Arabidopsis thaliana: one gene and its partners. The protein of the gene in region 2 interacts with the protein of the main gene of each other region in a pairwise test. Each region holds a gene or a part of one and is shown on either strand. Other genes may lie near its edges.

What was found.
Region 1: the proteins of AT2G01680 (region 2) and MGT5 interact in a protein complementation assay, tested with the Arabidopsis thaliana proteins (one large-scale study listed by BioGRID).
Region 3: the proteins of AT2G01680 (region 2) and CA1 interact in a protein complementation assay, tested with the Arabidopsis thaliana proteins (one large-scale study listed by BioGRID).
Region 4: the proteins of AT2G01680 (region 2) and AT4G30240 interact in a protein complementation assay, tested with the Arabidopsis thaliana proteins (one large-scale study listed by BioGRID).

Annotation. Positions count from the first base shown.
Region 1 is NC_003075.7:14,119,401-14,126,553, reverse strand, and holds MGT5 (magnesium transport 5), read right to left. Parts: upstream 3,066-7,153; coding exon 2,777-3,065; intron 2,698-2,776; coding exon 2,291-2,697; intron 2,210-2,290; coding exon 1,955-2,209; intron 1,827-1,954; coding exon 1,551-1,826; 3' UTR 1,465-1,550; downstream 1-1,464. Other genes in the region: MRL7 (polyadenylate-binding protein 2-binding protein), read left to right, coding at 1-420, 666-750, 883-994, 1,084-1,187; AT4G28570 (Long-chain fatty alcohol dehydrogenase family protein), read right to left, coding at 4,631-6,667, 6,797-7,006.
Region 2 is NC_003071.7:301,557-309,767, reverse strand, and holds AT2G01680 (Ankyrin repeat family protein), read right to left. Parts: upstream 3,518-8,211; 5' UTR 3,172-3,517; coding exon 2,850-3,171; intron 2,713-2,849; coding exon 2,303-2,712; intron 2,208-2,302; coding exon 1,341-2,207; 3' UTR 625-1,340; downstream 1-624. Other genes in the region: AT2G01690 (ARM repeat superfamily protein), read left to right, coding at 9-296, 460-624.
Region 3 is NC_003074.8:192,201-201,498, reverse strand, and holds CA1 (carbonic anhydrase 1), read left to right. Parts: upstream 1-3,338; 5' UTR 3,339-3,625; coding exon 3,626-3,847; intron 3,848-3,934; exon of another isoform or gene 3,935-4,651; intron 4,652-4,773; coding exon 4,774-4,835; intron 4,836-4,993; coding exon 4,994-5,143; intron 5,144-5,243; coding exon 5,244-5,292; intron 5,293-5,400; coding exon 5,401-5,517; intron 5,518-5,657; coding exon 5,658-5,711; intron 5,712-5,804; coding exon 5,805-5,890; intron 5,891-5,987; coding exon 5,988-6,093; intron 6,094-6,161; coding exon 6,162-6,320; coding exon of another isoform or gene 6,321-6,326; exon of another isoform or gene 6,327-6,607; coding exon 6,608-6,646; 3' UTR 6,647-7,073; downstream 7,074-9,298. Other genes in the region: LSF1 (uncharacterized protein), read left to right, coding at 1-131, 219-325, 488-947, 1,048-1,116, 1,212-1,333, 1,425-1,640, 1,745-1,850, 1,963-2,075 and 2 more; AT3G01490 (Protein kinase superfamily protein), read left to right, coding at 8,241-8,640, 9,117-9,238. UniProt on the Arabidopsis thaliana protein: Reversible hydration of carbon dioxide. Required for photosynthesis in cotyledons. Binds salicylic acid.
Region 4 is NC_003075.7:14,805,492-14,813,190, forward strand, and holds AT4G30240 (Syntaxin/t-SNARE family protein), read right to left. Parts: upstream 4,585-7,699; 5' UTR 4,255-4,584; coding exon 4,172-4,254; intron 3,965-4,171; coding exon 3,850-3,964; intron 3,750-3,849; coding exon 3,165-3,749; intron 3,090-3,164; coding exon 2,990-3,089; intron 2,888-2,989; coding exon 2,868-2,887; 3' UTR 2,831-2,867; intron 2,745-2,830; 3' UTR 2,398-2,744; downstream 1-2,397. Other genes in the region: AT4G30230 (uncharacterized protein), read left to right, coding at 885-1,667; AT4G30250 (P-loop containing nucleoside triphosphate hydrolases superfamily protein), read right to left, coding at 5,771-7,336.

The DNA of each region.
Region 1 (7,153 bases), on a different chromosome or scaffold from region 2:
TAAATCGAAGCGTGGGCGGCGGAGTGAAGCAGACGCTGTGGAAGATTACGTGAGAAGCTCCCTCGAGCGTACTTTCTCCACCATAAAGGAGCAGAATCCGGAGGTTTTTGAGAACAAGGAGAAGGCGAATTTCATCAAAGACAGAGGCGTTGATGAAGAAGAGGAAGAAGAAGAAGAGATGGTGGTGGAAGAGGAAGATCCAGATTGGCCAGTAGATACAGACGTTGGATGGGGAATCAAAGCTTCGGAGTATTTCGATACACATCCAATCAAAAACGTGGTTGGAGATGATGGGAGTGAGATTGATTGGGAAGGTGAGATTGATGATAGTTGGGTCAAGGAGATCAATTGTTTGGAATGGGAAAGCTTTGCTTTTCATCCTAGTCCACTCGTTGTCCTTGTATTCGAGCGATACAAAAGGTATAAGCTTTGTTATTTCATTGACGAATTTTCACAAACACTTGGTGTGCATAGTAGAACTATGAAAGCTTTGTTCTTTTTCCTTCACAACATTATCTAGACTATGATTACAAGTTGAAAGAGCCATTTGAGTTAGATTCCATGATCAATTAACTGCAATGAGTATAAAAACTGAAACTTGTTCTTAGAGTGACCAAAATCTACTACTGTTGGAATAATTTTTTGAGTTGTTGTGCGTTTTATAGAGCTAGTGATAACTGGAAGACATTGAAGGAGCTTGAGAAAGCTATCAAAGTTTATTGGGATGCGAAAGATCGATTACCTCCACGGGTATGTCGAAAGCCTTCTCTAGTTGCAGTTTTAACTTGAACATTACTCTTTGTGTACTAATCTCTCTTGGTGTGATTACATGTTAATGTGGCTGCTCTCTGTTAACAAGAATCACCATGTTTTATGAAACAGGCGGTTAAGATTGACCTGAACATCGAGACAGATTTGGCATATGCTCTTAAAGCTAAGGAATGCCCACAGATTCTCTTCTTACGCGGAAACCGGATTCTGTACAGGGAGAAAGGTGATAAGCTATGTTGCTAACGTTGTTTTCATGTTTTTTTGCAATATGTGTGAGCAATAGATTATCATAGCGTATTGAACTTGATGCAGACTTTCGCACGGCGGATGAATTGGTTCATATGATTGCGCATTTCTACTATAAAGCGAAGAGGCCTTCGTGTGTCGACAAGGCTAATGTAACCCCGTACTGTTAGTTTGTAACGGGCATAGAGTAGTTTCACTCAAAAGGTCAGTCTAGGAAAATTTACATAAACTTCACTCATAGATTGTTAACATTTTTGTATGTTCTATGCAAATATAAACTTGTTCCCAAGTAATGGATTTTACTCGTCAATCTGTGCTTTCCCTAACACGTTGATTCGTAACCAATGATGCATACATATATCAAGAAGCCAGCTCCTTTTATAGAAAAATTGTTTGAAGGATAAACTATTAATGCAAAAATCCATAACATAAAAACAAAAGCATTGAATCAATAAGAAAAAGCAAACTAAAAAAAAAATGAATTCCACAAAGCTAATCTCATAATGACTAAACCTAATGTGTTTAGTCTCTTATCAGTCAAGTAGCTTCTTCCACTTGGCGTAACCAACGGTGACTATGAAAAGCACAATGCAAAGCGCAACGACAGCCCACACAACGTAACCAAAGATGTCAGGTGTGCTATACAATCCAATTGGTATATTCATACCGAACAAGTTGACCACCACTGTCCCTGCAGTTATTGCATAATTGCCTATATTCACAAGCATCATTAGGTGGATCAGTCCGTTACGTCTACTATTCTGTAGTATCTTCACGTAGGCTTCTGTGCTGTCAATATGCTCCTTCATCTGCAATTCAAAAAAATATTAAATTACCAAGGACCGGGCATTAACACATAACAACCAAACATAACCCGAGCTTGCATCTAAAACTTATATGGTTTTCTTAGACCTATTTAGGTACATTTACTACTTACCAAAAGAATTTTGTTCCGCATTCCCTCTAGTTGCATGAAGTATGCCTCAAGCAACATCTCCATATCATCAATGTCATCTTCCTCCGTCACCATACTGGTGCTTATTCTGTTTGATGTGTGCCGTTGAAGATTTGGTTGGGAGACAATGCTATTTGATGCTGCCTCGGTTTGTTGGTTTTGAATCCATTTCCTCGTTAAGTATAAGTCTTCCATGTCTTCCTTGTCATCTAAGAAATGTTCGATTTCATCTCTCACCTGAATAATGTACTATAGCTTTTATGTTTCCGTCCAACACACAACATTATAGTATCATTGGAAAAGGTAATAACCTTTTACCTTTTGTACACGGGCTAGCAAGTGGGTGAGACTAGTTTTTAAACTTCTTAGGTCTTTAAGATTCTCATTGCTGACTTTCTTGGTTAGTTCATCAAGAATAGACCAAGCTTGTGTCTCAAGGTCTACCACATTGCTATCAACAAATGAGCAGAAGACCTCGAATGCAATCTCTAGTACCCGAAATTCAAAAGGAAGCTTACTCTTCAAACCCTCTTCTCCACCTTCTTGATGACCATGAGAAGAAGCTTGCAATATATTTTCAGGACCATCCTTCCGAGGAAAGTGATGCTTTAGTCGGTCAGTGAGTGTAAGAACTTCAGGACGGAGAGAATCCAACAACATAACTTGTTCTGAAGTAATTACCGCCTTTATGACCTCTAAATTCAGGACAATAGCTTTCTCTCTGGCTGCGTCATAGCAAGACATGGATTTGTTATTGTCTGTTGTGAAAACTAGTCAGCAAAAAAGACACAAACGTGTGTATACCTAGAATTTTAGAAGAGTGCGAGAAGGCAGTTCTTAAATCCTTAGCCGAAACAGAAGAACGTTCGATGATGGTGCTCTTGTCACATCCAGCCACTTCCATGAATCCAGTCCGATCAAACCTCGTCCATAGACAGACTCCTCCTCTTCTCTTCTTTGACTTCCCCGTCCCTCCCACGATTGCACTACAAGGCGGAGTAGGAGGCGATAGAGATGAAGGCATCCTATTCATCTTCACCGCCGTACCCTTCTTCCGGCTGCGGTTGCTCGTACTACGGCGAAGTGATCCCATTGACTTACCTGCAGCTGGTCAGAGATCTCTCCGCCGAGTCCTGCCGCTTTTGCTTGACTTTCTATTTTTCCGACGACGTACCCGAGCAGGGTTTGTGTTGTGTGTTTCGTTTCGGTTTCGGCCATGCGTTTGTTGTGCATTTAGGTTTGGGAAGTGTTTATTAAGTTATTAACTAATATAAAGTCTTTTTTAAGTGATTTTTTAATTGATTTTTTGCTTTTCTTAAAACTTGTAAATAGTTTTGCATATTATCATAGATATTACGTTTTTCTTTATCAAGATAAGTATGAACTCTTGTGGAATTATCTTGGAGATCTTGCATAATCTTTGTAGTGTTTGTTTGTTAGAATCCTTTTTTTTTGGATAACTGTTGTATGTAAAATCGCCAAACACAAACAATACACCACGATAGATGCAACTATTGAAGGATAATCTAATAATTCAATAATCTATAGCATAAAAATAAAGAACCCTTAAAACAATTAGTCATACTAAAACAAACAAAACAAATTCAACAACCCGCCCTACTCTGATTTTGCATCTCCAAAATAATCGTTCCTATCCACACCAAAAAAAAAGAACTATTTAGTCATCACAATTCCTGCAATTATTAACTATACTTTTCAGAGAAAAAATGTTGATTACCTTAATCGACGGAGGGAATTATTCACTCGCAGAGACATCAGTCGTACTCTTGTCTCTAAAAAAATTTAGAATCTCTCTAAACCAGCACGACAAAATAGCCGAAAGGATGACGAAGAAGACAACGATTACGGCTATGGCATATGAGGTAGCACTATTCATCTTGTTCTTTGCAACACAACGATTTTTTTGTTTAGTCACTTTTGTTTATGTTTCGTTCTTCTTCGTTTCGAGACGATTATATTTTATAGACAGCTCCCGTTTGTATGTTAATAAGGAAATTCCTATATCCTTTACATTTTCATAAAAGTTAAGTATAGTCACGTAAATATTAACTTTACATTTTGACGACAAAATTTTAAGAAACATAGTAAACTTTACAACAACAAAAAAAAAAAAAAAAAAAAACAAACAAACAGCTTTAAGCCCAAGCATCTGTGGTCCAGTGGTAGGAGAAGATTTGGGGAAGGGTGAAACTTCCAGACCTGGGTTCGATCCTCTCTGAAACAAAAATCACATTTGTTTGGGAATTCTGTCAGTTGGGATTTGGCCCAATTGGTTTATCTAGTAGGCAGAAATACAGGCGGCCTGATTACCCCCTGGCATTAGTCGGAAGGCATCCAAATTCGGGACAGATAGTGAGGTGGTCCTTCGGAAAGAAGTCCATTCTGAAGTATTTCGGTGCATTTCTACCGGTGCTGACCAGATCAGCCGATAGGGTTTATCAAAAAAAACAAAAAAAAAAACAGCTTTAACGTTCTTGAATCTTGGTGCATATATGATATATCATTTGTTTACATCTTTGTTGTCGTCAAGATAAGTTATTCCATGATTCTTAAACAAAATTTGTCTTGCAAGGAAAAACATATTTATTCGATATGAATACTAATGGGATGGTTTCAGTTCTTTCTTTTTTTACTTCTCTATACTTTTGTTTTGTTTTGCAGCGAGTCAACTATCTTTGAGGAGATGCAGTAAGCAGTAGACTGAATGGTGATCATTGGGTTAACCCCAACAGCTGATGGCAATATACTTCCATCACAAACAAACAACCCCTCTGCTTCCCAGCTCTCACCATTCTCATCCAACGCACCTTCCTCCGCGGTGACTCCCATCCTACAACTACCCATCTGGTGAGCCGAGAAGTACGTCGTCCAATACTCTCCTTTTGTGCCAACCCCACCAACAGCATCAACTTCGTCTAGAAACTCTTCCATGGCTTCTTTAGTAATTGCCTCACACTTCATCTTCTGTCCATCACTCCTATATGTTCCGACTTCAACTGCACCAGCTGCAACCGAAACCCGCAAAGCTTGTCTAAGACCTGCCCTCAGATTCTCTCTATCTTTCTTGGTTGTCCTGTATGTAACTTCGTTTTCCATCATAACCTCACCTGACCCTAAGTCCCGAACCAGAGCAAAAAGATGAGCTGTTCTTCCGTACTTAATCATCCTCTCTTTAAGGTCTGGTCCTGAAACCCACGGGCTCAACCCTGCGTAAGAAGCTGGTCCTATCAGTGGATTCTCCAGTATTGCTTTGCATCCAGATTCAGTATCATTCATATGATGGACGGACGTGATGATCCCTCCCTCATACATTTTCCCGGAGAACTCAGAATCTTTCTCCGGGAAGTATCCCCATGTCATCAGAACCGGGTGCAGCTTTAAGTTCCTTCCAATGTTCGGGTTCTTTAGCCCACTCGAAAGCATCAGAGGCGGTGTTAACAGCGATCCAGCGGATGAAACCGTTACTCGAGCTTCGATAATAAACTTCTTCCCAATCTTTCCTCCAACAGAGCTAGCAAACACTCCCACACATCGTTTCTTTCTCTCATTGCTACTACTAGTGTTGTCTACTAATACAAATCTCTCAGCTTTGATCCCTGTCAGGATCACTGCACCATTCTCTACAGCATCAACCAACCAGGTTTGATCTGTCCCGTTCTTGGCTCCTGCTCTACATCCATACCCGCACAAGCCACAGTAATGATCCTCTGGTGAGTTCCTTGGAACTGATTCTACCTGCAAACCGAGTCTCTCGCACCCTTTCCGCAGAACCTGATTCTGAAACCCGTGTTTGACACATCTTTCCGTGACACCAATCCTTATCGTAACTTCATCCATTGCAGACTGATATTCTTGGCTACCAAAAAACTTGATCTTACTCCCTTCAGACCATTCCTGCAAAACATGATCCGGTGTCCTTATAGATGCAGACCAATTAACAGCTGTACCTCCTCCAACAGCTGAACCAGCCAAGAGCATAAATTTCCCATCAACCGTAGTCAAAAGGCCGCCTTTTTCGTATAACTCGAGCATAGACGGAACTTCTAGACCCGAATAGTCATGAGCTGTAAAGTAGTTTCCTTTCTCTAGAACCAAGACTTTCAATCCAGCTTTAGCTAGGTTTGCAGCTGCAACACCTCCTCCACTTCCTGAGCCTACAACAACCGCATCGCATCTGATCCTGTACACATTGTCACCATCGTCTCTAGCAACATGAACACCTTTTTCAGTTAGAGATTGTGTGATGGTTACGTCACTCTCATGCATAGTTTCAATGATCCCTTTCTCTAGAGGTCGTCGCTTCTCATCTGCTTCACTCTTCTTGTTGCTACTTCTCTCTGTCCCATCGATGCAATACCCTATAGCTTCCAGTGCAGGATTCTTCAGATTCTCATCCGTCTGGGAGAAGAAGTAGAAGAGGGTGTAGAATTTTGCAAGGAAGAAAGTGATACGAAATGGAAGAAGGAATCCACTTTGTCTAGACCAATTTCTCAAGATCGCTTCTCTTTTATCCAATGGAAGTTGAGAGAATTTAAGAACAAAAGGCCAACTCTTATCAAGACAGAGAGACCCACAAAGCAACAAAGTTCCAAATCTGAATGACAAAATCATCAATATGATTCTCAAAACTTTGACTGCTTCTGATCGTCCGTTTTTCACTATCATCTCCGCCACCTAGATTTAAATCCAAATCAAACAACAAGAAAATAACATGACCAACTTCACTATCTATAATAGAACTATTCCTAAATCGAAGCAAGATCTTGAATACAAAATTAGAAACAGAGGATAGAGAGAGAGAACCTCATCAGTGAATGGTGGTTGAGTAGAGGAGGCTACGTGGAAGGAATTAACAGCTTGCTGTTCCGACGTGGTCTCCGGAGGGAGGAAAGTTTGACAGATGACGGCAAGAGATTGAATCTGAGACGGTGAGAAGCCATGGTTGTAGCCTTCTCCTCTCTTCTTGGATCTGAGCAGAGGATGTCCTCTGTTTCTTCTTCTAACGTCTTCCATGTTATTTGTGTATTACCAAACTCCTTGGAGAATTGGAGAAATGATTGGATTAGGATTTTGAGGAGAAATCCGTGAGCTTATTGAAGAATCAGACAAGTCTCGTTATCACGAAGTCTTCCTTGTGTTTTGTTTCTGCTGGTGGGTCTC
Region 2 (8,211 bases):
ATATGCAGCAAAGTGCGGCGTTCAAGATACTTAGGACAAGACTCAAAACTGTGCCAACGTACTCATTCAGTACTGGAAACCAAATAGGCAGAGCAACTTCAGGAGTTCCTTTCTCTCAGTATAAGCATCAAAACGAGGACGGTGACTTAGAAGACGATAACATCAACAGTTCTCACCAAGGAATCAATTTTGCTGTGCGGCTACAACAGTTCGAAAACGTACAGAATCTACATCGTGGCCAGGCAAGGACTAGAGTGAACTACTCATATCACTCTTCCTCTTCTTCTACATCAAAGGTACACATAACGCTACACATTTTTGTCTGTTAACCTGCGGTATAATATAACAGGATGGTGTAACATTATTGCCATTTTTGCAAGATTTACCGGTTTTTTCCCTTAGCAATTGGAGTGTTAAGAGATATGGATAGTCTCATTGTGCTTTAATTTGATGTATTAGGAGGTGAGGAGATCTGAAGAACAACAACAGCAGCAGCAGCAACAACAACAGCAACAACAACAACAACAACGACCACCACCTTCTTCGACATCATCATCAGTTGCAGATAACAATAGACCTCCATCAAGAACTTCAAGAAAAGGCCCTGGTCAATTACAGCTTTAACCTACCTGGTAATCATAAATAATAAATAATATTCCATCCCCGACAATCATCATCTTCATCTTCTTTGTGTGGACACCACCGATCCCTTTTGTCTCCTGTAAAATTGTATATCTCTCTTTTTTAGTAACTCTTCAAGTTTCGACGGAACTTGTGGAAAAGCTACGGTCGTGTCCATCATCTCTTTCTCTCTGTCGGGTTTTTTTTATTTACGAGAGATTCTTCTTCAGTCCCTCAGTCTACCTTTATATTGTTTTTTTGGGGGTTTCTCGTTTCTTTGAATTTGTTTCATTGTTTGGAGCTTTTTATATTTTTACCTTATGTGGAGATGTAAGAAAAAGAAGTGATCATGTGGTTTTGTGTTGTTTTTTTATAACTGGAAAACCACATGAGTTTGTAGAGGTCACTTATTGGATATTTTATGTCAAATGATGCTCCTTTTTACATTTTCCTCATCTCACAATGATTTACATCTTATACAATGTTTGCTAATAAGAGACATTACACTTCACTAGTACTCGAATGAATTGTACATATACTAACCACTTCCAGTAGTAGAACAAAAGAAACAATACAGATATGGCCTGTGGCGACTTTATTGCTATATATGATACTAATATGTACCAACAAGATTTATTCTAAGAATACAACACAGACTTGCGTTGGAAGAAAGGCAAAGAGAAGAGACGATCTATACAAAGACGCTTAAGAAACTTAATTCAAAGAGCAATAATCTTCTCGAAATCTGATTCATCTTCAAAATCGGATACATGATGAGAGTAAGACCATGAAAACGACTTACTACTCCCTCTCCTAATCCTTCTCTGTGAATCGTTGCCGCTCCTAAACCGCTGCCGAAACACGAAATAACACATACTTGCCAATGTCCCTACCAAGATCGGTGCTCCAAGCAACGTTATGGTAATCGCCATCCACGAGTTCCCCTTTCCAACAACCGCAAATGCAATCGCCAAAAATGCTCCGAATGTGCAAGCACAAGCTGCCCACATTAGCTTATTCACTACAGACACAACTTTCTTCTGCGCCCGTGTGTCCCACGCCACCAAAGTTATTTGAACTACCACAACCGCTAACGATATAAACAGAGATGTCGCGTTTAAAAGACAGAACACGCGGAATCCGGTTCTCCCTGCAATATTGGCTTGTCCCACATGCGACCCCTCCGTGAAATACTGACCCGGCAAGTTGAATATGGCCAAGAACGCTATGGAAGCAAACAGAACCGCCACTACCGTTATGGAGTTAGTCGTGTTCTGAACCGCTTCTCTGTGGAGTTTCCTCAGCTCTTTCGCGATCCCAGAGACACGACGGTTGGTTTTCTCATTCTGCAAAAGCTGCGATTGCACCTCGTGTTTGATATCACTCACTGCTCGCTTCAATGCTCTCGCCTCATCTTCTCGACCAATGAACCTCCCATGCTTAGCCCCAGCTTCTACCAAAGCCTCATTGATCTCCAAAGCAGATTCGCTATATTGCAGCTTATCCGCCAAATCCATAGCAGTTTCTTTCTGGTTGTTAATCGCATTCACTTCAATCGCCGTAAAGGTCAGCAATAAGCTCGTTATCTAATAAACAAAACACAAAAGGCATTTATGTGTCAACCCCTGTTCTTGAAAGCTAACTAGCAATACAAGAAGCTAAGAAAGGAGTGGAGTAATACCTGTGGCCGCGCCTTTCGAGTAGCAATATGCAAAGCAGTGTTCCCTTTTCGATCTCTCTCATTCAATATTGTGTAATCAGCCTGCAAAATCTCTTCGACTACTTCCAAACTTCGTCCTTTAACAGCCATGTGAAGAGCAGTCTGACCTTTCTTATCTTTAACACCAACAATCGCTGCGTCTTTCTCTATGAGAGCTTTCACTATCCGAAGAAGCCCGTACCTTCCCGCAGTGTGCAAAGATGTTTTCCCGTTCTTTCTCACAATCATTGCACAGCTAGGATCAACATCAAGCATTGCATTTACTATTTCTAAGTGATCTTGAACCGCAGCTGCGTAAAGCGGACTCGTGTTGGAAGCGTCGCAGATTCTGCAAAGCTCTGGCCATAGTCTCAGTAACTCCTTCACAATTCCTGGAGATCATAAGCAGAGCCACATCAAAATATCTTCAAACTACGAAATTCAAATCCATTTTCAGCAATTTCAGATTCAAAATCATAATCAGAGAGCCAAAGTTTGAAGATTTGAAGTCAGAATTAGTGAGACATACCCAAGTGACCTCGCTTGGCAGCGACATGAAAAGCGTTCATGTCGGATTTGGATCTGATCTTAACTGTTTCCAAACTAGAAAACCTAATCAAGTAACGAAAAATGTCTTCAAGATTCTCTGCGGCGGAGATATAGACGGCGGTCTCTCCGGCGTCGTTTTGCACAGACATAAGCTCAGCCACAGCAGAACACGGCGATGACTCATCGATTAGCTCATCTCCGGTTAAATTGTCAACTAACTGTTGAAGTTGACTAAGATCTCCTGATCGAACAGAGGAAAAGAAAGCTTGGTGAGTAAGAAACTTCATCTGCTTCATCTCCATCTCTGTAAAGCTCTGTCCTTTCTCTCTCTAAACCAAAAAAAGTTATCAACTTTACACAGACCCAGTACTCTCTAGCTCTATCTCTAGAAAGCTCAGCCAAAACCCATCAACATGAACAGATTCGATCTCCAAAAAGTCTTCTTCTTTATTTTTAGTTATGCTTTGCAATGAAATTGGGATTCATGTGAAACCATGTTTGGTTCTTTTGCTTTAAAAAAAGAACAAAATTCTTTAAGGTTTTTGCTTTTGTTGGAGAGTTGACACTAAAAACTAAAAAGATGATAAAATGGGAATCTTTTTTTTCTTCAATCAAAACCTGAATGGTCTCTAAATTTCTCCTCTCAATAATTCGTTTCTCTGTATTTTAAAATGTATTTTTTTTCCAATTTTGACGAGACAGCAACATTATTTCTCGAAACAAATTATTTGTCTTTTTAAAATAATTTATGTACTATATAGTCTATAGATAACGTATATGGACCGTTGACAGTTGGAATTATATTTTAATTCTGGAAATATTTAAAATGACATGTTATTTTCATGTAAATATATTTTTCTTTTACCGTTTTAGATTTATTATTTATTGCAAATTATGATTTATGAGAACCGTTATATAGCCGATTCTATTATGGGTAATTTGTTTCGATCTTTATTAGATCCACGAAAGACGACACTTTCTTCTCCGTCTTCATGCTTTTGATGGACACCTTGAAAGATCTTCAAATCCTGGCAAACAGTTATAATTGTACATCGTTCGAGATCTCTTGCACACTTATCTCCATTATCTGCTAATAAATCACAGTATTTGGGACTTGAACCTCAATTTCTTTGTGTATAAGTATTAATAGAACTTTCCGCCAAAAAGGCTTCCACTGTAAATATATCATTACTAATATAGAAAAAACTTTAAAAAAATAAAAATAAAAGAGTGAAACCGTCCAAGCCCAAGTACAGCCCAATTATTTATATATTAAAAAATGGGTTTATATAATACGTGGCTTCTGTTTTGTAAAAAGACATGTTATTATGGGCTTGAAGCCCATTATATTTTTAATAACTAGCAAACTAAACGGTCCTTTTTGTGTTTTGTGAGAGCTACTTCATGTTGACGTCAATAATGCACCGTCAAAGTCTCCGTGACGGAACCACCACCGACCCAAATGACCGGCATCACCGTCAACTTCTTCGTCACCATTAGCTTTCATATAAGTCTAAATTCATTTTATTGCTACGTTGATAGTCCTTTTTTGTATATAACGTTTTAACATTTTATCGATAGTTTCAGAAAATTAAGAATACCATAATGAGTATGAACTATGATTCTTATGGTTTATTTTAGATATATAGAAGACATAGCTAATCAGTTCTTTGACAGTAATACAAAAATGCCTAAAATTTTTATGGATTAAGAGAGAAAGAAATAAAATTGACAAACAAAAAAAAAGCTACATTCCAGAAAAGGATTAGGTTGCAAGTGAGACACGTCGAAAGATAGTGACTGTAATATTTGGATTTTATCCACAAACCAACCAAAGTAAAACAAAATTCAATTAATTTAAATTATCATATTGTGGAAATTTAAGTGTTCTAGAAAAAAACATATAAACAATGACTTTATCTTACATTAAATATGTATAAGTAAACTTTGAAAAAGATGTGCCCTTCAAAGTCTTCGAAATCCTACTTGGATCCAATACATAGAAACTATTTATAAAGTATATTATATACACAGTTTTGTATTTTTGCTACAAATCATTTACAGTTTTATATAAGAATAATGTGAAACAAAAATTTATTTGTCAAATTATCAATTAATTACTAGTTAGAAATAATAACATTAAATACATTAGAAAATCTATAGTTTGATATTTATTGGAAAATATATATTAATTACATGCACTGAGGGTCCTTTGTTATATACTTTATTAGTATATATCTGACGTCAATAATTTTTTTTTCTTATTAGTTGGGTCCCATATATTTGTATAAACTTGACTCTAACCATTGTTTATTTACTAATGTAATCTTCAAATCAGATATAAAATAAATGTTGGGTTTGGTTGATCCAACAAAATTGCCCCCACATTTGTCTACGGAGAGTCCATCAGGTCACATGGGTGGCACTAATTGAATCTCAGTTCAATATATATATAAACAGAAGTATTTTTCATTATGGTATTATAAGTGTTGGAAGATTACCATACATTTGAAATAAACATGTCCATAATTAGACAGAAAATTGAACCTTTTGTATAAGTGTATTGATGAGGCAATAAAAGTCCAACTACACATCTCAAGGTAACGATTGGTTGGAATTTTTTTTATCCATGTATAACGACAAAAAAACATAAACAGAAACAAAACAAAAATCAAGAAACCTACGTCCACAACTCTATCTTTGGTCTGAAATCTGAATTCTGAAAACTATAATCAACTATACTGGTCTAATCGTCTATGATTGGTAGAGTTTTTCCAAACCTAATGATAGGACACACGAATTATCGCTTGGGATCATGCTAAGCATAACCTTTTCTTTATTAATTTAACATCACAATATCATTATTAGCATAACATTTCTTTGGTTAAAACTAATATCATCAACGTTTTCACGGTCATTGCATAGGTTTTAGAAGAACCATTCAAGGGTTTAAGAAATAATGATCTTAATTAACACTAGTAGACGATCAAACAAAAACAACCACGATCTAAACTCACACGCGAGCAAACGAATTCGTTCTCAACTATGAATGAAAACTCAATTCGTATATAACTAGGATCCATAAGACGACCATAACAATGATTTATTATTTTTCTTTCTTTTTGGTTAATTCTGATTTATTATCTTCAACGCTTTCCTTAAGCAATGTACAATATTGTTTTGGACCACAATTGTTGGATTTGTCTTGGTTTCAATCATAGCTACTAGTATAGACGTCCTAAATTGTAAGAAAACACCTCTATTCTACACCCCGAAGAATATTATGGAACTTCATTTGGAATATTCTTTATTTTTGGTAGGGTGGAGGAAACAATTGCCTTTCACCATTTATTAGATTAAATTACAAAAAATTTATAAACAAACTCGACGTCTGTTTCCACTGCGTCCTGTAACATAATCAAATGGACTACATCAGCGCAAAAATCAAATGTATGAAAACCTAACTACAAATAAAACGTATAGTTTGCTAATTCGTCTGTTAGACGATTAGTCTCCCTATACACATGAGAAATTCGGACTAACCAATTCTTTGAAAAATAACTATGACACAAACATATCTCAAAAGCTATCGGATATGCCTCACTTATCCCTGACTGAAGAAATCCTACTATCAACTCTGAATCTACCTCTAAATCCACTTTCCTAAGCCTCTCTCCCAAACAATCAGCAGACCATAGTAAATTCCCCACAACTCCATTAAAAGTGCCTAGCATTTGTCAATATGTAGGGCAAATCCGCCTACCCAATAACTATCCCCATCTCAGATCAAATTATATTCTGAAATAATACTTAAAATTATAGTTTTTTTTAACACCAAAACTTAAAATTACACTAAAAAGTAATTTTTCTAATCAAATATCGGAAGAAAAAATAGATAATATTTGAAATCCATTAATTATATTGCATTTTTATAACAATTATAATTTGTCAATTAGTGATAAATGAAAAAAAAAGAGAAAGAGAGAGAGTTGATAACTTGCATAATGTATTATTAGAGAGGGAAAGAGAGCATGTGGTGTCCGACCATTTCAACTCTCACGACTTGCTCCGGTCTTCCTCTGATGCCGACATCTTCTTTCTTTTTCTTTTTCTTCTCTTAAATTTATAGACTGTGGGTTCTAGTCCTATAATTAATATCTCACCAATATTTTAGTTTAACATTTTTGATATAGCTACTAACTTTTTAAACCGAAATTCAAACTAAGGTCACAAATCTACAGCCGATCGATGCATAAACTTTGTAGTGGTTAAGAAAACAAATCCAGTAAAAGGTCGATGCAAAGTTCGATCCACCAACCGAAAGAAATGGTTATATTTAACTCGTGTAACCAATTTTCTACGCTTTTTCATGTCACGTTAAATTATATATTAACTGTTTATATATAGACATTACATTCAAGATTCAACGTCGTTTTCATAATAGTACGTAATATAAATATAGTATGTGAGAGGGAGAGGGGTTAGGTTTAGGTTTTGTGAGTAAAATATTATATTTTCATACATTTTAGCTTCTCAGTCTACTACTCAACAATGAATTAAAATCGATGTTTTTGAAGCAACTAAAATTCAAATCAAATTCTAGAAAGTCGTTTTCCTTCTTCTCGATATTCTTATGGTTTTCTAATTTAAAATGCATGGAATCGTAGAAAGTATTCCAAAATTCAATGTTAATTCTAGAAGAAAACTTTAATCGGCAAATTAAAATTCTTTAATAAATCGTTAGTTTTCTAGAGACTGCAAATAATATTTCTAGAAGAAGAATAAAAGAAACTCATAAAGTCATAATAAACAAAGCCGAATCCAAATATATATTTTACATAACAACTACACCAAATTATTTTGGAAGAACATTTATATGAAGTATACTTATTAGGGAAAAAACAATTATGCTTATTTCATATACGTCGATGTTCCAAATGTTTTTATTGCTTTATATGGTTAGATATTTTATGAATTTCTATGTAAACTTTTAATTGGGTTTTTAAATATACATCTCTAGCTATATTGTTGCATGTAAACAAAATGATGTTTTTAATTAAAGTGTGGGAAAAAACAGAAGAGAAATAAGTAATTTCTTTTTAGAAGAGGAGTATAAAACATATATGCATATGGGGTTAATTTTCCAACATGATAAGATAGCATCAAAAATTACTATAACGAAAAAAGAACTAAAGATACGAAATAGCAACAAAAATACTAAAAATATGAAAAAATAAAATTACCATAAAAACTAGTGTACACAAAGGTCAAAATCTTATTTACATTTGTAATTAGGATCTATATTTCAAAAAATTGAACATGGACCATAATTGTTTTTGCTA
Region 3 (9,298 bases), on a different chromosome or scaffold from region 2:
CGATGTCGTCTTCTTCTACTCCGTTCAAAATGAATTTGAATGAGTATATGGTCACTCTCGAGAAGCCCCTCGGGATTCGCTTCGCACTTTCAGCAGATGGCAAGATCTTCGTCCACGCCATCAAAAAAGGGGTATTCTCCGATCCTTAGAATGTCATGTGGAAGTAGTAGTAATCTCAGGAGTTTTGAAAAGTTATTAACTTTTTTGTTTGTTTGTAGAGCAATGCGGAGAAGGCGAGAATCATCATGGTAGGAGATACACTCAAGAAGGCTAGTGATTCTTCTGGTGGTACTCTTGTGGAAATCAAGGATTTTGGTGATACCAAGTAAGAATTGTACAGTACTAGGCTTCTATATAACTTGTTAATGTTGTTAACTAAACATTGCTGGTGACTAGTTAACATGGGAAGATTTAGCATGGAAACACTTTGCATATCAGTGTTTTTGAAATTTTCTTTTTTATTTCTTCCAGTTTTTGATTTATTCAGGAAGATGCTGGTAGAGAAAACTGGATCCTTTAGCCTTGTTCTTGAAAGACCATTCTCTCCCTTTCCCATTCAGTATCTGCTTCATTTGAGCGACCTTGATTTGCTCTATAACAGAGGGCGTGTGTCTTTTGTTACTTGGAACAAAAACCTCTTATCATCGAATCTCAGAGCATCATCACAAGGCAGTGGTAACTCTGGCTATGCTGCGTTTTCCTCCAAATTCTTTACTCCTCAGGGATGGAAACTTTTGAATAGACAGAGCAATTCCTTTCAGTCAGGGACTAAGAAGAACATTCTTTCTCCACCTATCAGTCCACTGGTCTCTGTCTTTTCAGAAGATGTTCCTGGAGATGGGGAATGGGGTTATGGGAATTTCCCTTTAGAGGAATACATCAAAGCCCTTGACCGTTCTAAAGGAGAGCTTTCTTATAACCATGCTCTTGGAATGCGCTACAGTAAGGTCTGAAATTTGTCTCTTTTTCCCGATTACTCTTGTTTCATGATTCTCTCTGTCTCTTCAATCTCTCAAACACCATTCTTCTCTTGTTGCCTTTTTTCAGATTACAGAGCAAATATATGTTGGCTCTTGCATACAAACAGAAGAGGATGTGGAAAACTTGTCGGAAGCTGTGAGTCTTTTATATGACTTATATTACCTACCTATGGTATGCAAATGATAGAATTGAAAGTATGGTTTTAACTGGCCATACTTTTCTTTCTACAGGGAATTACTGCCATACTAAATTTCCAAGGTGGAACTGAAGCTCAAAACTGGGGGATCGATTCACAAAGTATCAATGATGCATGCCAGAAATCTGAAGTCTTAATGATCAACTACCCTATAAAGTATGCAAAGTCATATCGCCTTGAGGCACATTATGTGCGTTCATGCTTTCATTTCCTACCGCTCTAATCAGTTTTGATATTTTGGTGCCAGGGATGCAGATTCCTTTGATCTTAGGAAGAAGCTACCACTTTGTGTTGGGCTCTTACTACGGTTACTGAAAAAGAACCATCGTGTCTTTGTAACTTGTACCACTGGTTTTGACCGGTCATCCGCTTGTGTGATTGCTTATCTGCACTGGATGACTGATACCTCTCTTCATGCTGCTTATAGTTTCGTTACTGGATTGCACGCTTGCAAACCTGACAGGTTTTTATCCATCTTATCTCTGTCTTGACCATTAACCTGCAGACCATGGATAGCTTTTCTGTTTTAATGAAAACATCAGACAAGTTATATGTATTTTTTCACAGACCTGCAATTGCTTGGGCAACATGGGATCTTATCGCTATGGTGGACGATGGCAAACATGATGGGACTCCAACACACTCTGTAACCTTTGTGTGGAATGGACATGAGGTGACTGTTGCTTCACATGCTTTTATTACTTTGCTGCAATTCTTTATGGAACTCGTGATCTGTAGGGTTGAGCAACTAGCCTCTGTGTTTTAAGTTACACCTTGGTTTACAGGGGGAGGAGGTATTGTTGGTTGGGGATTTCACAGGAAATTGGAAAGAACCGATAAAAGCAACGCACAAAGGCGGTCCACGTTTTGAAACTGAAGTTAGACTTACACAGGGAAAGTAAGTCATGCTTCTTTTACCTTTCCCGTTGATGCTTTTTTTAAGGTTCAACAGTAAAACGTCTCATAATCTTCCCTGCATGTTAATTGTGACTTTTGAGGGATTGCAAACTGCAAAGAAACTTATGAAAATGCATTTGTGTCATATAACTTGGTGATTATTGACAATGTGGCAGATACTACTACAAGTACATAATCAACGGTGATTGGAGGCATTCAGCAACTTCACCAACGGAAAGAGATGACCGAGGAAACACGAACAATATAATTGTAGTTGGTGATGTTGCTAACGTCAGGCCTACAATTCAACAACCAAGAAAGGTTACTCCTACTATGCAGTAGTCTCTTCTTCATACAATAGGAAAAGCTTGAATAAGATGTTCCACGTTATATTTGCCTGATTGGTTCAAGACATAAACCTGAAGCAACTTGTACAATGTTTTGCAGGATGCAAATATCATAAAGGTGATCGAGAGAGTGTTAACAGAGAGCGAAAGATTTAGGCTGGCGAAAGCAGCTCGGTGTATCGCATTCTCAGTTTGTCCAATAAGACTATGCCCAAAGTCGTAGAAGTTTTGTTTTGGCATAAGTTAAAATGTTACATCCATTCTTCTGTCTCTATCCATTCCTCGAGGTACTTAACCCTAATATCGTTGTGAACAACATTGCCACATTCGCGCACTCTATGACAAGAGAATGTTGACATTATGTTGTGTGTTTGCATGAAAAAATGTCGACATAGTTTCGCCGTTGCCCACTTTACATATAAGTCCCAAAACCAACCCTAATGCGTTACTGGTCTCTGTATTTCTTCTTCATTTTCTCTCTCTCTCTCGCTCTCTCCTAACATGTTGAAGAAAATAGAAACTCTGTTATCTAATGTTGCCTATATGATGATTTATGGCCATGGAAGGTCTGAGAGGAGAGACCCTTCTTCTCTATTTTTTTTATTTCCTCTTCATTTTCATGCTAAGAGTTTTCACTGAGTCTGTTGTTTCGTAGAGTAGAACAGTCCATGATCGATGTTAATCCTTTGCATCTTCTAGATTGTGTATACAATAGCAATCTCTGGTCTAGAGAGAGCCTAGAGAAGTATGGATCTTTCTATATGTATACCACAAACAAATGGCCTAACATCTAAAGTGGGTGGTGATTATTTAAGATGAGAGCCTGAGAGGGTAAGTGAAAGAGGCTGATCCTTGTTTTCATGATAAGGGACCTTATCCTCTAAACCTTTCTGAGACCTTTTATTTTTTTATAAAAAAAAGAATTGAAAGAAGAAAAGAGCACGTAAAAGTTTTGAAATCTTGAGCTAATATTCCTCATCCACAAGAAAAGAAGAAAGTTTGTTATTCACCGCAGCTATCGCTTTCGTTATCCTCGTTCCCACAACCTCACCATGACCATGAGACTCCGTTCTTTTAAACTCCCAAATCTTTCAACCAATCCCATTATTCACTTAAGTATATAGTAGCTTCCATAAGAGTCTTAGTTCTAACTATAAATACACATATCTCACTCTCTCTGATCTCCGCTTCTCTTCGCCAACAAATGTCGACCGCTCCTCTCTCCGGCTTCTTTCTCACTTCACTTTCTCCTTCTCAATCTTCTCTCCAGAAACTCTCTCTTCGTACTTCTTCCACCGTCGCTTGCCTCCCACCCGCCTCTTCTTCTTCCTCATCTTCCTCCTCCTCGTCTTCCCGTTCCGTTCCAACGCTTATCCGTAACGAGCCAGTTTTTGCCGCTCCTGCTCCTATCATTGCCCCTTATTGGGTATACATTTTTACATTCATCACTGTTTCTTAACCTACATTATTTCTTACATAACTTACATTGCTGTTTACGTATAATAGGGGTACATTACATAGATAGCAAACTAAAGTTACAGAATTTTAAAATTTGTAAAGATTTTACGAAATTATTATATAGATTCTGCAATTGCCATTTTAGTGATAGGAACAAAAATCTTCTATAGAAACTAGCTTACGAAACTTCCACAAATCTTGGAAACTGTCACATGTGTTTCACATTTCAGTTTTTTTTTCCCTTGGTATTTCCTTATATTATCCTTACTATTATCATCCGTGTTTGACTTTTGGTCTTTAGCGTGGTACTGAAAGAATTACCCAAATTAACAAGAATCAAACTAAAGTTGCTTAATTAGTGAATCACAAGCAAGGGAAGAGTTCATTTTCAATCCTTATTCTATACAGATCTTCAAACTACTTGCTTCGACATCTAGTGAAGTTAAAAACAAATCACCTCGAAATATTAAAAGCGTTGTCTCATTCCTACCCAAGATCCGACATTTTTGAAATTTTGAGAGTTAGAACGTACGTAGGATCCACGTGATAAAAGAAAAGTTGCTAGTAGTAGCTTCAACAAAAACGATTCATGAAACTGAGACGTGTGTGTATGCACATGTACCATATGAGAGCGTGTGGAGCATAGTGGTGATTAAGTCGCCATCTATATTTATTCATTCAACCTACCGATTTGGTTCCTACTAGCGAAAATAAAATCATAATATAAAAGACTATAAAATTGTACTTTATCGTATAATGAAGTTCTGAACAGGTTGATTGTAGTTTCAACATTTAAAACACGTCATGACTCGCTCTCTACTTAATTACGTTCACGACAATAAAATATACTAGTACTCATTTTCTTCTAATTTTATTTGGTCAACCAACTTGCAGAGTGAAGAGATGGGAACCGAAGCATACGACGAGGCTATTGAAGCTCTCAAGAAGCTTCTCATGTAAGTATATACATCTTTTCTATTCGCATGCATACATTAATACATGATTAGATTAATAAAAGCTAAAACATTATTATAAATTAGTAACGGGATTTTTCAATACTACTTAATTCATAATTTTTGTGATTTAACTATAAATGTATATAAACATATGGCAGCGAGAAGGAAGAGCTAAAGACGGTTGCAGCGGCAAAGGTGGAGCAGATCACAGCGGCTCTTCAGACAGGTACTTCATCCGACAAGAAAGCTTTCGACCCCGTCGAAACCATTAAGCAGGGCTTCATCAAATTCAAGAAGGAGAAATACGAGTAATATATATTTCTATTTCATTTGTTTGTTCTTAATTATGTCACCAACTAAAGTGGTCTAGATTAATTAACTGGTTCATATTTATACTTTTATTTGCAGAACCAACCCTGCTTTGTACGGTGAGCTCGCAAAGGGTCAAAGTCCTAAGGTAAATTAAAAATAAAACTAATACTATGTGTATATCATGGTTGCTTATAAATTAAAAATGAAACATTAAGAAAAAGTAATTAACAAAGGTGTGTGAATGGTGGTGCAGTACATGGTGTTTGCTTGTTCAGACTCACGTGTGTGTCCATCACACGTTCTGGACTTTCAGCCAGGAGATGCCTTCGTGGTCCGTAACATAGCCAACATGGTTCCTCCTTTCGACAAGGTTAATAATTTAACACGTCTGTCTCTCTATAGATATAAACTCTTCTATCTTAAACCTTCTGCCTCTTGAGTCTTGACTTTTGTCTTGAGAAGTCGTGACATTCACTTTCTATTTTCATTTTTGGGTTGCTAAATTGGCAGGTCAAATACGGTGGCGTTGGAGCAGCCATTGAATACGCGGTCTTACACCTTAAGGTGAAAATAAAATAAAATAATTAACACCTTAACCAAAAAAAATTATTTATCAAAGTACATGTAATTAATTTTTGAATGAATTTATTACTGTAGGTGGAGAACATTGTGGTGATAGGACACAGTGCATGTGGTGGGATCAAAGGGCTTATGTCTTTCCCCTTAGATGGAAACAACTCCACGTAAAATATCTCTATATCCATTTTATTAAAATTTAATCAATTTTAATAACAGGATTTATTAAATGAGATTAGTAAAAAATATATACGTTAATTGCAGTGACTTCATAGAGGACTGGGTCAAAATCTGTTTACCAGCCAAGTCAAAGGTTATATCAGAACTTGGAGATTCAGCCTTTGAAGATCAATGTGGCCGATGTGAAAGGGTATACAAACACATGTTAGATCGATGAGCTGATCATATATAACAATATAAATGTATTGATAAATGCAGGAGGCGGTGAATGTTTCACTAGCAAACCTATTGACATATCCATTTGTGAGAGAAGGACTTGTGAAGGGAACACTTGCTTTGAAGGGAGGCTACTATGACTTCGTCAAGGGTGCTTTTGAGCTTTGGGGACTTGAATTTGGCCTCTCCGAAACTAGCTCTGTATGAACCAATCCATCATCATCATCATCATCATGACCATCCATCATCATCATCATTATTATCATCGTATATAATATATATCTACCCCATATGTAATTTGTAATGTGCCTTTGACTGTGATGAGTTATCTCTCCCTCTCTACCAACTTTCTTCATATATATAAAACAAAAAGGAAAAGCAGATGATATAGATCTTTCGTGGTTTAATTATGAACAATTGTCTTTATTATTTGTGTATCAAATCGGTTGTATTTATGGTTTGATTTTATTTTCTATGTTGTTTGGTAGGTTAAAGATGTGGCTACCATACTACATTGGAAGCTGTAGGAAACTCTTTGAAGCCTTACCCGATTTCACATTGTCAATTCAATAACACCAAGTTGTTGTTTACATGCAGATCTTGATGAAACTGGTTTTTGATTTTACAGAATTAAAATCTTGGGGGACAGAAATTTGAATAAAAACTAAAAAAAAAAAAATCAAAAAAAAATCATTGAATCGTAAATAAGGATATCCGGGACGGGCGGATCCGGATAATGAAAAAAATGAACCCGGATATCCGGATCCGGTACCATTAACTACATGAAATAAAAAGGCTTGGAAACCCATTTAGCTAAAAGCCCATATATTTAACAAACCAAATATTTTTGATACCCAAGCCCAATTAATTATCACTTGCCGACACAAACACAAAATCATTCTTTGAAGGTCACAAAATCATTTCGATCTCTTCTCGATATCTCACAAACCCTAGAACTCTGGATCTTTTAATTTCTGGGTTCGATACCCAAATCCTTAAAACTGTCGAATTCTGGTACCCGGAACCCGGATATCCCAGTCTAACAGATCCGGATGCGGATAGTGAAACTGTAGATTTGTAGCTTCGTAGTTTTTTGGTCATATAAAATATAAACATCTGAAATTTGTCTGTGTATGTTGCTGTTTAAATTTGTCCGCCTACACATTATGGGCCTAGGCCCAAGTTTGCAATTCTTTATTGTGGCAATTAAATGGTCAGGTTCGGTTTAGGTTTTACATATCCATCATGAAAAAGCACCGTTGAACGGGCTTAAATCTTTGTCCAAGGACGACGTTTATGAATCCGGTATAAATCGATCGAAGAAGATTAAACCCACAAAACGAAAAGGCTAAAGCTTGAGGAAAAAGTAGCAAAGTGACCAAGAGTCCCATGATTTCATGAAGACATGAACTATATATATCTACTCATTGATTTGATAAATACATTATATTTGATGTTACATATTTTTATTTGAGATTTCTAATATATATTTTCAGAATGATAAATTTTATTTTTATATTTATCTTGAACTGATTTTTAAGAGAAAAATACACCGAAAGAAAGCGAAGAGTTAATTGCCTACCAAAAAAAAAGAGAAGAGTTAAAACTTTTTCCTTAAAAAATCTTAAATAAATTGAAAAATAAAATCAGAAAAAAATAAATGATAACAGTATATCAGACCATTGTTTTGGACTTTTGGGTCCGGATACAAATTATTATCCAAAAGAGAGTTGTGAGAAGTGGAGCCGACACACGTCGACCCCTAGCACCTTAAGGACACCCCATGTGGTCACGTGTAAACGTTTGTTTGTCATAAAAGAAAGGTTTTTTGAGTATGAAGAAATCTGAGAAGTCTAATCACAGAGAAGAGAGAAGCGAGAGTTAGCCTCTTCTTTAGTTGTTTGTTGCAATAAACACAAACACAACTTCCCTATTTTCTGCTTCTTTTTGTTCAACTCCTACACACTCCAATCACACAATTCACAACCCATTGAGAAACCAATAAAATAACCTCAATCAAAAAAAAAAAAAAAAAAAAAAAAAAGATGAAAATCTCAATTTAGTAAAGGAGAAAAAAGCCATTTCGAATAACTTGAAAAGGTTTTGGTTTTGCAGAAGAAAATGAAGGAGAAGGCGGAGAGTGGTGGAGGAGTAGGATACGTGAGAGCAGATCAGATAGATTTAAAGAGTCTGGACGAGCAATTGCAGAGACACTTAAGTAAAGCATGGACGATGGAGAAGAGGAAGAGTTTGAGTGATGGTGAAGATAACGTCAATAACACCCGACATAACCAGAACAACTTCGGACATCGACAGCTTGTGTTTCAGAGGCCGCTTCTTGGTGGTGGATATAGCAACAACAACAACAGCAGCAAGAACGACATAATTAGGTCGACCGAGGTTGAGAAGTCGAGGAGAGAGTGGGAGATTGATCCTTCTAAGCTTATAATCAAAAGTGTGATTGCTAGAGGTACTTTTGGTACGGTTCACCGTGGAATCTACGATGGTCAAGATGTCGCCGGTACAATTTCTCTTTCTCTCTCCCATCATTCATAACTTTTTGTTTTTATTCTAAGAAATATGTTTTAGATATGTATACGTACCCTCTTTTGGTCAAATTATTTAGAGAAGAATCGAAACTTTCTTTCCGAAAAAAGTAAATAAATAATCGAATTACATGGAAAATATTATTCTTAAATTTAGGTTTCTTAATGATCAAGTTAAACAAACATGCATTAGTTAGTGTAATGATTTTTTCTTTTCTTTTTTTACTCTAGGTTTGGTAATATGTTTAACATGTACACATTAATTTTTTGCTAATCCGCTAAATACCGGCTGATATTTATATTCCGTAATTTAGTGATAGATAAAGAAACTAACAATTTTTTTTTTTCTTTACACTTATCAGTGTAATTAACAAAATTTGGATGTATTCAATTGAACCTTTTTCTTTGGTAACTCTTGATTTATGTGTGAAAATATTGTTAAAAATAACAGTAAAACTACTAGACTGGGGAGAAGAGGGGCACAGGTCAGACGCAGAGATAGCTTCGCTTAGAGCTGCTTTCACTCAAGAAGTTGCTGTGTGGCATAAGCTCGACCATCCCAATGTCACCAAGGTACGTACACTACACTCACTCTTTTATACCGGTGAACAACCGAAATCGAATTAAACTTAA
Region 4 (7,699 bases), on a different chromosome or scaffold from region 2:
CAATATGCTTCATACAGTTTGTTTGTGTGTAAACTTGCTCCTTCGAAAATATACCTAAAGAAAATTGTCTAAACATTTTTAGATTGTGTTTCGCTAATTCTTATATATATTTATATAGAAGTGGTGACATGTCGAATCTATATTTTATACAATACCATCAGTTAGCTTTTTGCACAGTCTTTTTATTTTACCGGTTGGGTGTACAAATCTATGCAAATTTGTGTGATCGTGGTACATTTATGTACATATGTATAAACATATAGTCTTTGACAAAGAATTTAAAAAATATAGGCATTTCAATCAAAGTTTTACATCATGAAGAAATGTAAATCTCAAATTTTCAAACATTATTAATTTGTGTTTGAATAATTCTATCTCTATCATTCTTGACCATGCTTTTGAATAACTAAATTTTCTAAGCTGAAAAATCGGAAAGATTCATGAATAAATGATCAATGCTATATATGAAGACTAGAGTTACTTGTCTTATCTTTCTTGTCGTTAAAACTATATATGAAAACTAGAGTTAGTTAATATTAATAGACACTTTGTGTGGTTAAATAATAAATAATAAGTAAGATTTGCTATCTTTCTTGTCATTAAAATTGTATTATTGTTATTACCAACATAATATGTCATATATCGACCTGAAATAATTAAATCATGAGAAATTTGGCAAACGGAAACTTCGGATGGTCAACAATCTACAAATATATGCATGTATATAAATACACCTAAAGAATTCTAACCCGTAAAACAAAATAGTTTCCACTTTAAGTTCTGTAAAAGTATTTGACCCCTCTAGAGACCATGTATATATATGGTGACAAAAATTAATACTTTCAATATCTTCATTGTCTTCTCTCTCTCTCTCCCTAAAAAACATGGAAACTACAAAAAACACTAATCTCCAAAACCCTACTAAACTCCCAAAACCATTTCAACATCACCTAGAAGAAGAAAAAGAAGACGCACTATCTCTCCGAGATCTTCCCCTCAAAGCCAAGAATCCTAATCCCACCACCACCGAAGACCACAAAGAACCGTCAACGGAACTTTTTGAGTTTCTAACCTCATCCTCCTACGACGTAGCTCCGGCAGAAAATATAATCTTTGGCGGGAAACTCATCCCTTTAAACTACCAAAATGCTTTCTTTTCACCTCCTGAGCACATTAGCCGTCGAATCCGTTCACGGTCTGAGTCCTTATCCGCGATACAAGGCCATAAGCTTAACCGTCCCGGTAGTTGTACCGTGGCACGTCGTGACAATGCGGGACCTATGAGGGCAAGCCGCTCTTTAGATTATCGTAAGCTTTCACGTGGTCTAACCACCGTACATTCTCCACCGGAAAATAGTTCATCGACTAAAAACACGGGGAAGCCTGAAACAACGTCTTCGGGAAGTGTAAAAAGTGTAAGGCCAAGATGGTATGTGATCATGTTTGGAATGGTTAAGTTTCCGCCGGAGATCGAACTCAAGGATATAAAGAGCCGTCAGATTCGCCGGAATATTCCACCGGTTATGTTTCCATCTCCTGCTAACAGGAGAGCTCGTGGATCTCGGTCGCCATCACCGTCACCTTCTTGGAGGTTTCTCAACGCTTTAAGTTGCAAGAAGCCCACAAGCGTGGCTGCTACGGCGCCGTTTTGGGTTCCTCATCCATAAATTACTATATTATTCCTACGAACATTGTGCGCGGTTACTTGCTCTGCCGTTGATTAAGAAGGATAGGATCGTCATTTAGTATAAGAAATATCGATATTGTTAATTTATTTTGTGAAAGAATGTCGAAATTGTAATTTATTTGGTGAATCGATAATAGTTTGGACCATAACACATCTTATTCACACCTTTTTCTTTTTCTTTGATTTTTTCGTTATTTTGTATTTCAGCTCATTTAGAATATTTCAATATATATTTTAATAAAATTGTTTTTGAAATTGAATTGGTTAGGTGAGGAATGAATGATGATCAAAAGAAGCACGAGAAGGATATGAGAAAAATTTATTACCTTACTTTTCCCAATGGGACTAGTCGATTTTTAATGATTTAGACAGGAAGTTGTATCATTTTTTAGCATTTATCTGTGCTTCGAAGTTCATGGTTGATAAATGGTATGATCAAATTCCATCTTGAGAGACTGTGACATGCACCTTTCTTTTGTCCAGAGACTTCTAGATTCGAAAATTATTAGACATTTTTCTTTCTTCATAAATCTTTTTCACCATTATCATATGTCTATATGATACGACCTAATATTAAGATTTTTTACTTAGCTTAGAATTGACCTAAATTGGTACTTTTGGGCTGTGACACTATTAGTGATGAAAGAAATTGAGACGTCAACTATAATGCGCATTTTAAAAGAAAGTAAGACAATGATTGGAACAAATGACTTGCCAAGTAAGTGAAAGAGGACAAAGAATGTTTTGTTCCAAAACAAATATCTGAGAGACAAACAAACACTGGAGATATCATTGAGCACAAACACGCATTGGTTTCCTTTAGGTACACGTCTAAAGTTTAACGAAACGTCGTAGCTTCAAGTTTTACAAATTGATCTTACAAATTTACAGGTTCCTATATGTTCCCTGAGGATTAAGAGAGAGTAATAAATCAGGCTTTGTCCTTCATTTGAATCTTGACAAAGTCTTTTAATCTCTCCTCCTTCCCTCGAAGGATGTTGAATCATGTAGCATCTAACGAGTGTGTAACCCAATACGCAAGAATCTGTGAAAAAACCTGCAAGATACACGAAAAGGATGTAATGTTTAAAGATTGTTTTAGAAAACTTGGAGTTCTGATTTAGAATCTAAAATATCATTTACCTGTCAATGTTTCTTGAGAGTTTCTGAAACCGCGGTTTTAAGTTCTCAAGATGAATACTGCAAGGGTATAAACAAGGAATTTGATTCAGTTATAGAGAGTAGAGACTGTCATGGAACAGTGGTGTGACATAACTCATGAGAACCAAGAGAAGGACTCACATAGAAGAATCAAGATTAGCGTTAAGGAAAGAATGAGCTTAATAGGGCGGCTCAATGGAACGCGAAATCGTCTTTGATAAACCTTGACTCTGTCAAAGAGCTGCAAAATGATAAACAACTAAGACTTATGATCCTTTCTAATAGTGTAGAGATGATCCAAACTGCAGAAGCTTACCTGGTTATAATCACGACATCTCTGCAGCCAAAACATAGGTTTAGCTCCTTTCTCTTTAGGAGTGTCTTCAATATGTGATAGGAACTTCTCCCTCTCTTCTTCTTTTGCATTAACAGGGACATTAATCCTCAACGCACTGATATTTGGTACATTTGGTGAACTCCATGTTCTTCTTGTACCGCCTTTTTTATCTGCACTTTCCGGACTTCCTATGTCGTCAATGTCTATCACACAATCAGGACTGTCGCCATAACATCTACCCTCTCTTCTGCCATTGATCCCACGTGGATTCTCAGCTACAGAACTCGTTGAGGAATCTCTCAAGTTGATGCTATCACTGTTTAAACTCTCTGACGTCTGAGAAGATCCAGATAGAAACATGGCGAGATCATCACGCTCTTCTTTGTTAAGATCCACCCAACGCAAAGGTTGTTTCCCATTCTCGCTTAACGACTCTAGCAGAGTAGATTCCACTTGATAAATCTGGTTTTCAATAGCGGTAACAAACTGTTTATGCCTAGTTAAGGTAGTGTCATCTCGACAATTTCCATGGCTTAAGCTCACTGCCCTCTCAAACTCTTCCAACTGATTCAAGTCACAACAATATAACCAATATCACTAACACACTCATGAGTAACCATGAAAAAAAAAGGGAATGATCAAAGGACCATTGATTGTTTCATACCTGCCATTTAGCAGTGCTCAAAGCAGCTTGGAGTTCTTTGCAGAGCTCGTCTGATTCTACGGATACTCGACCGTCTCTCTTCTCTTTAAACCACAACCTATACGCAGATTCCATTCTGGAAATACAACACAAATAAGAAACAAAATTTCAAATTTGATAACTCAATTCCTTCACAAAACACAAAGGTTCTCACTTAGACCATTCTAGAGCCAATTAGTCCCCTAAACAATCGAAATACCCTATTTTTCAATTGAAATTCCGAATTCCACCATCACAAGCAACATGAGTCAATTAAACAAACAGAGAATCAAAAAACACATACATATCAGCAGATTCTTGAACCTCCTCAGCTGCAGAGAAAAAAACATCCTTTTGCCATAGATCGAAACTATTCGCTACCATCATCTTCGAAACCACACCTAAACCCTTCAAATTAAAGACCAAAAAATCAACCCGAAAAGATTCGTCGGAATAGATTCTCTCTCCGATTATAATCCAAAATTAGATTCTGCTTCCTTCTCTTCTCTTCTCTTCTCTTCCTTTTTTGCCTTCAGGAGGAAAGAAGGAATTTTTATTTTTTCTTCCTCCAGCTTTCTGTTTTTATTTTTTATTCCTTAAATTCTTCGATATTTCTTTGCTTTCTTCACTTTAAACGTTAATGGAAGATTTTAATAAAGAGGCCTCTCTGAACTAAATTGACCATATTTCACACGTGTTTTATTGTAATTGGGAAATAATTTAAAGTAAGATGGTCTTAGCTGCAGGAGATTACCGCTTGTCAAAGAAAAACATCAAGAATGTCCGTGTTGTTGTTGGGCCTACCGGTTTGCCGCAACATCAATTGTTCGCCAACCGCATTATATTATTATTATTATTCTTTATTTTAATACTCTCTATACAAGTCAAATGCTAATGAGTAAATAAATTCAATAAAAACTCAACGCTAATTTTAACTTTTAGTTTAGTAATAGACAGTAGGAGCAGGACAAATTGAGGTGGCATGTGTAGCGCATGTGATATCAAAATTTTAACTAGTTAAATTGAAATTCATAAAATGAAAACATGTTTTGGTGTTTTCAGTTTTGGAGAGACATGTTTTGTTAAATAAATTTAATTAATTAGTTGTTGTGATATGGTGAAATACCACCTTCTTCAACAAATCCCAACCTTGATTTTGGTGTTTTCAGTTTTAATTAGTTACCAAGACCTGTTTTTGTTCTTATTTAGACATTAACCGGTGGTAGATTCTAGAGATTGGGCCCATAATATATATATATATTTTTTTTGATCAAAAAGATTGGGCCCATAATATAAAACAACTTTTTTCTGATGCAAATCTCTTTGGGTAGGATTGGGCTTCACTACTACAATATGTCAAAAATCAGCGGTCAATATTATATTTAGAAAAAAAAAAAGAACGGATGGATTTTTCAGGTCACTTCTAGTTTGAAGTCAAGTGTTTGATGTGATGATTCTTTAAATGTCACTTCTCGAGTAAATTGTTTTCTTGAACTATAAATTTTGAAATTTACAGGTTTCACATATAACCTGTATAAAAAAGGGTGTGACACTAACCAATTTACAACACCCAAAGTCCAAACGCCAATTCTCTTTTATCTCTTCAAAACAAACGTAACCGACACGAAAATTTGAGACAACATATACAACAACAAAGTGGCAATTTCTGCAGCATTAGTAGATACAAAAGCCAGTTTAGTCTCAACTCTCATGTAGCAAATCTCAGAAGGTTAACTTTGGACAGTGCCTACTTTTGACTTAAGAGTAAACCAAAATGGATAACGTTATATTATATGGTAACTAATCATATATTATAATAATTTTGACTAAACAAAACGGATAATTAAAAACACACAAGAACCACCATTAGATGATGATCCTAGGATAAACAGTCTCTTATCATTCACTTCTCCTTCTCATCTTCTTCTTCTTCCTCCTCTCGAAACCCACAAACCTCTCTGTTTCTTCTATTAGGACTATCCAAAGCTCTCTTCTCTTGTTCTTCCTCTGCTTCTTCTTCTTCTTCTTGACCTTCCTGTTTCTTCTTCTTCAATCCAACACTCTTCCTTCTCTTCACAACTCTCTCCTTCAACACACTCACAATCTCCCTCACCGCCTTCTCCGCATCACTCCTATTCCTAATCAACACTTCACTAACATCAGCCGGAGTAATCTCTGCTTCCTCCACACATTCTTCCATCTCCTTCAAAACAACACTATCCATATCTTCTTCCTCAAGCCTCAGATAATTCTTCAACAGAATCTTCAAAGCCGGAAACTTACAAAAACCCATGTGAACATGCATATCCATCCTCCCACTTCTCATCAGAGCAGAATCTAACTTCTCTATATGATTTGTCGTGAACACAAATATCTTCTCACTCCCACAACAAGACCAAAGCCCATCTGTGAAGTTCAATAGCCCCGACAGAGTCACCGAGCTTCCCGGTTCCTCCAAACCCGACCCGTTTGTCAAACCTGGATCATATTCATAGCTCCCATTCTTCTTTTTGTTCTTTCCTCGTTTCGTCAAACTGATAGAACAATCAATGTCTTCGATGACAATGATAGACTTAGAGCTAGTCTTCATCAACAGCTTCCTCAATTCAGAGTTGTTCTGAACCTCAGTGAGTTCAAGATCGTAAATATCGTAACCAAGGTAATTCGCCATTGCAGCAATCAAACTCGATTTGCCAGTTCCAGGTGGTCCATACAACAAGTAACCTCGTTTCCAAGCTCTTCCCGTTTTCTGATAAAACCCTTGTCCGTTCGCAAACTCCCTTAGATCCTCCATGATTCGCTTCTTCTTCTCAGGATCCATAGCCAGAGTATCGAACGTGCTTGGATGCTTGAATCTTACAGAATCCCATGGATGGCTCCTCGCGTCGAGCGAAACACCTCTTGAGTTCGTGTAAAGCAGTCTCTCCTCGTTTCTCCGACGAATCTCCTCTGATTTTCCGACAATGTAATCAAGGTAAGAATCTAGGACAAGGGCTTTGTCTCTTTTGTTGATCTGTAACGTAAACCCTCGTTTCTCTTCCGGCATTGGTCTCCACGAAAAGCTCTGTACTTGACGTTGTACAACGACGTGTTCCCAGAGGATAGTGACGCCGTTAAATACGTCGGTGATTCTGTCGTTGTTGGAGAGGCCGAAAGTAACGGAGCTTGAGTTAGGAACACGTGTCAAGCTGAGACGTGTGTTGTTGTTGCTGCTAGAAACTGCGTCGTTGACGGTGACGGAAGAGCTGAGGTAAAGCTGAACGGCGTTGTAGAGCTCGTTGGTGTTGACGCCGTCAATCTCCGTTATGTCGAAGTAGATGTGAGAAGAGAACACGTGGCGGATACGTGTCAAGAAGTGGAGGAAAGCTAGTCGGAGTTCAGGCGGAAACACGAGTTGGACGATTGTTTGACAAAAGGCTAACATGCCAAGTAGAGAAGCCATTGTTGTCCAATAATCACTCATTTTCATTTTCTTACTCTGTTTCTTTTCCCTTTGAATAAAAAAAAAAATTGGGTAGAGAATTAGAGAAATTGAGAAGTGGGTTTGTGGTTAAATGAGGAGAGAAGAGTAGGTTTAGTGTAATTATGGAGATAAGAGTGTGATTTTTTGAAGTTATTATTCTAGAGATTTGGGAGGGAAAATGTTTGGTTGAGGCTTTTGGGAGAAGAGAAAGAGTGACGTTGGTGGAATTTATTGAAATAATGAAATAAGGGATCACCTCAATTTATAAGCAATTGGAGGAGTCGAGGAGACATTTTACTTTGTTATTTTACTAAAGAAAATATTGTTTTGATATTTGCGGATATGACCATTTATTTTGTTGTGTATTGT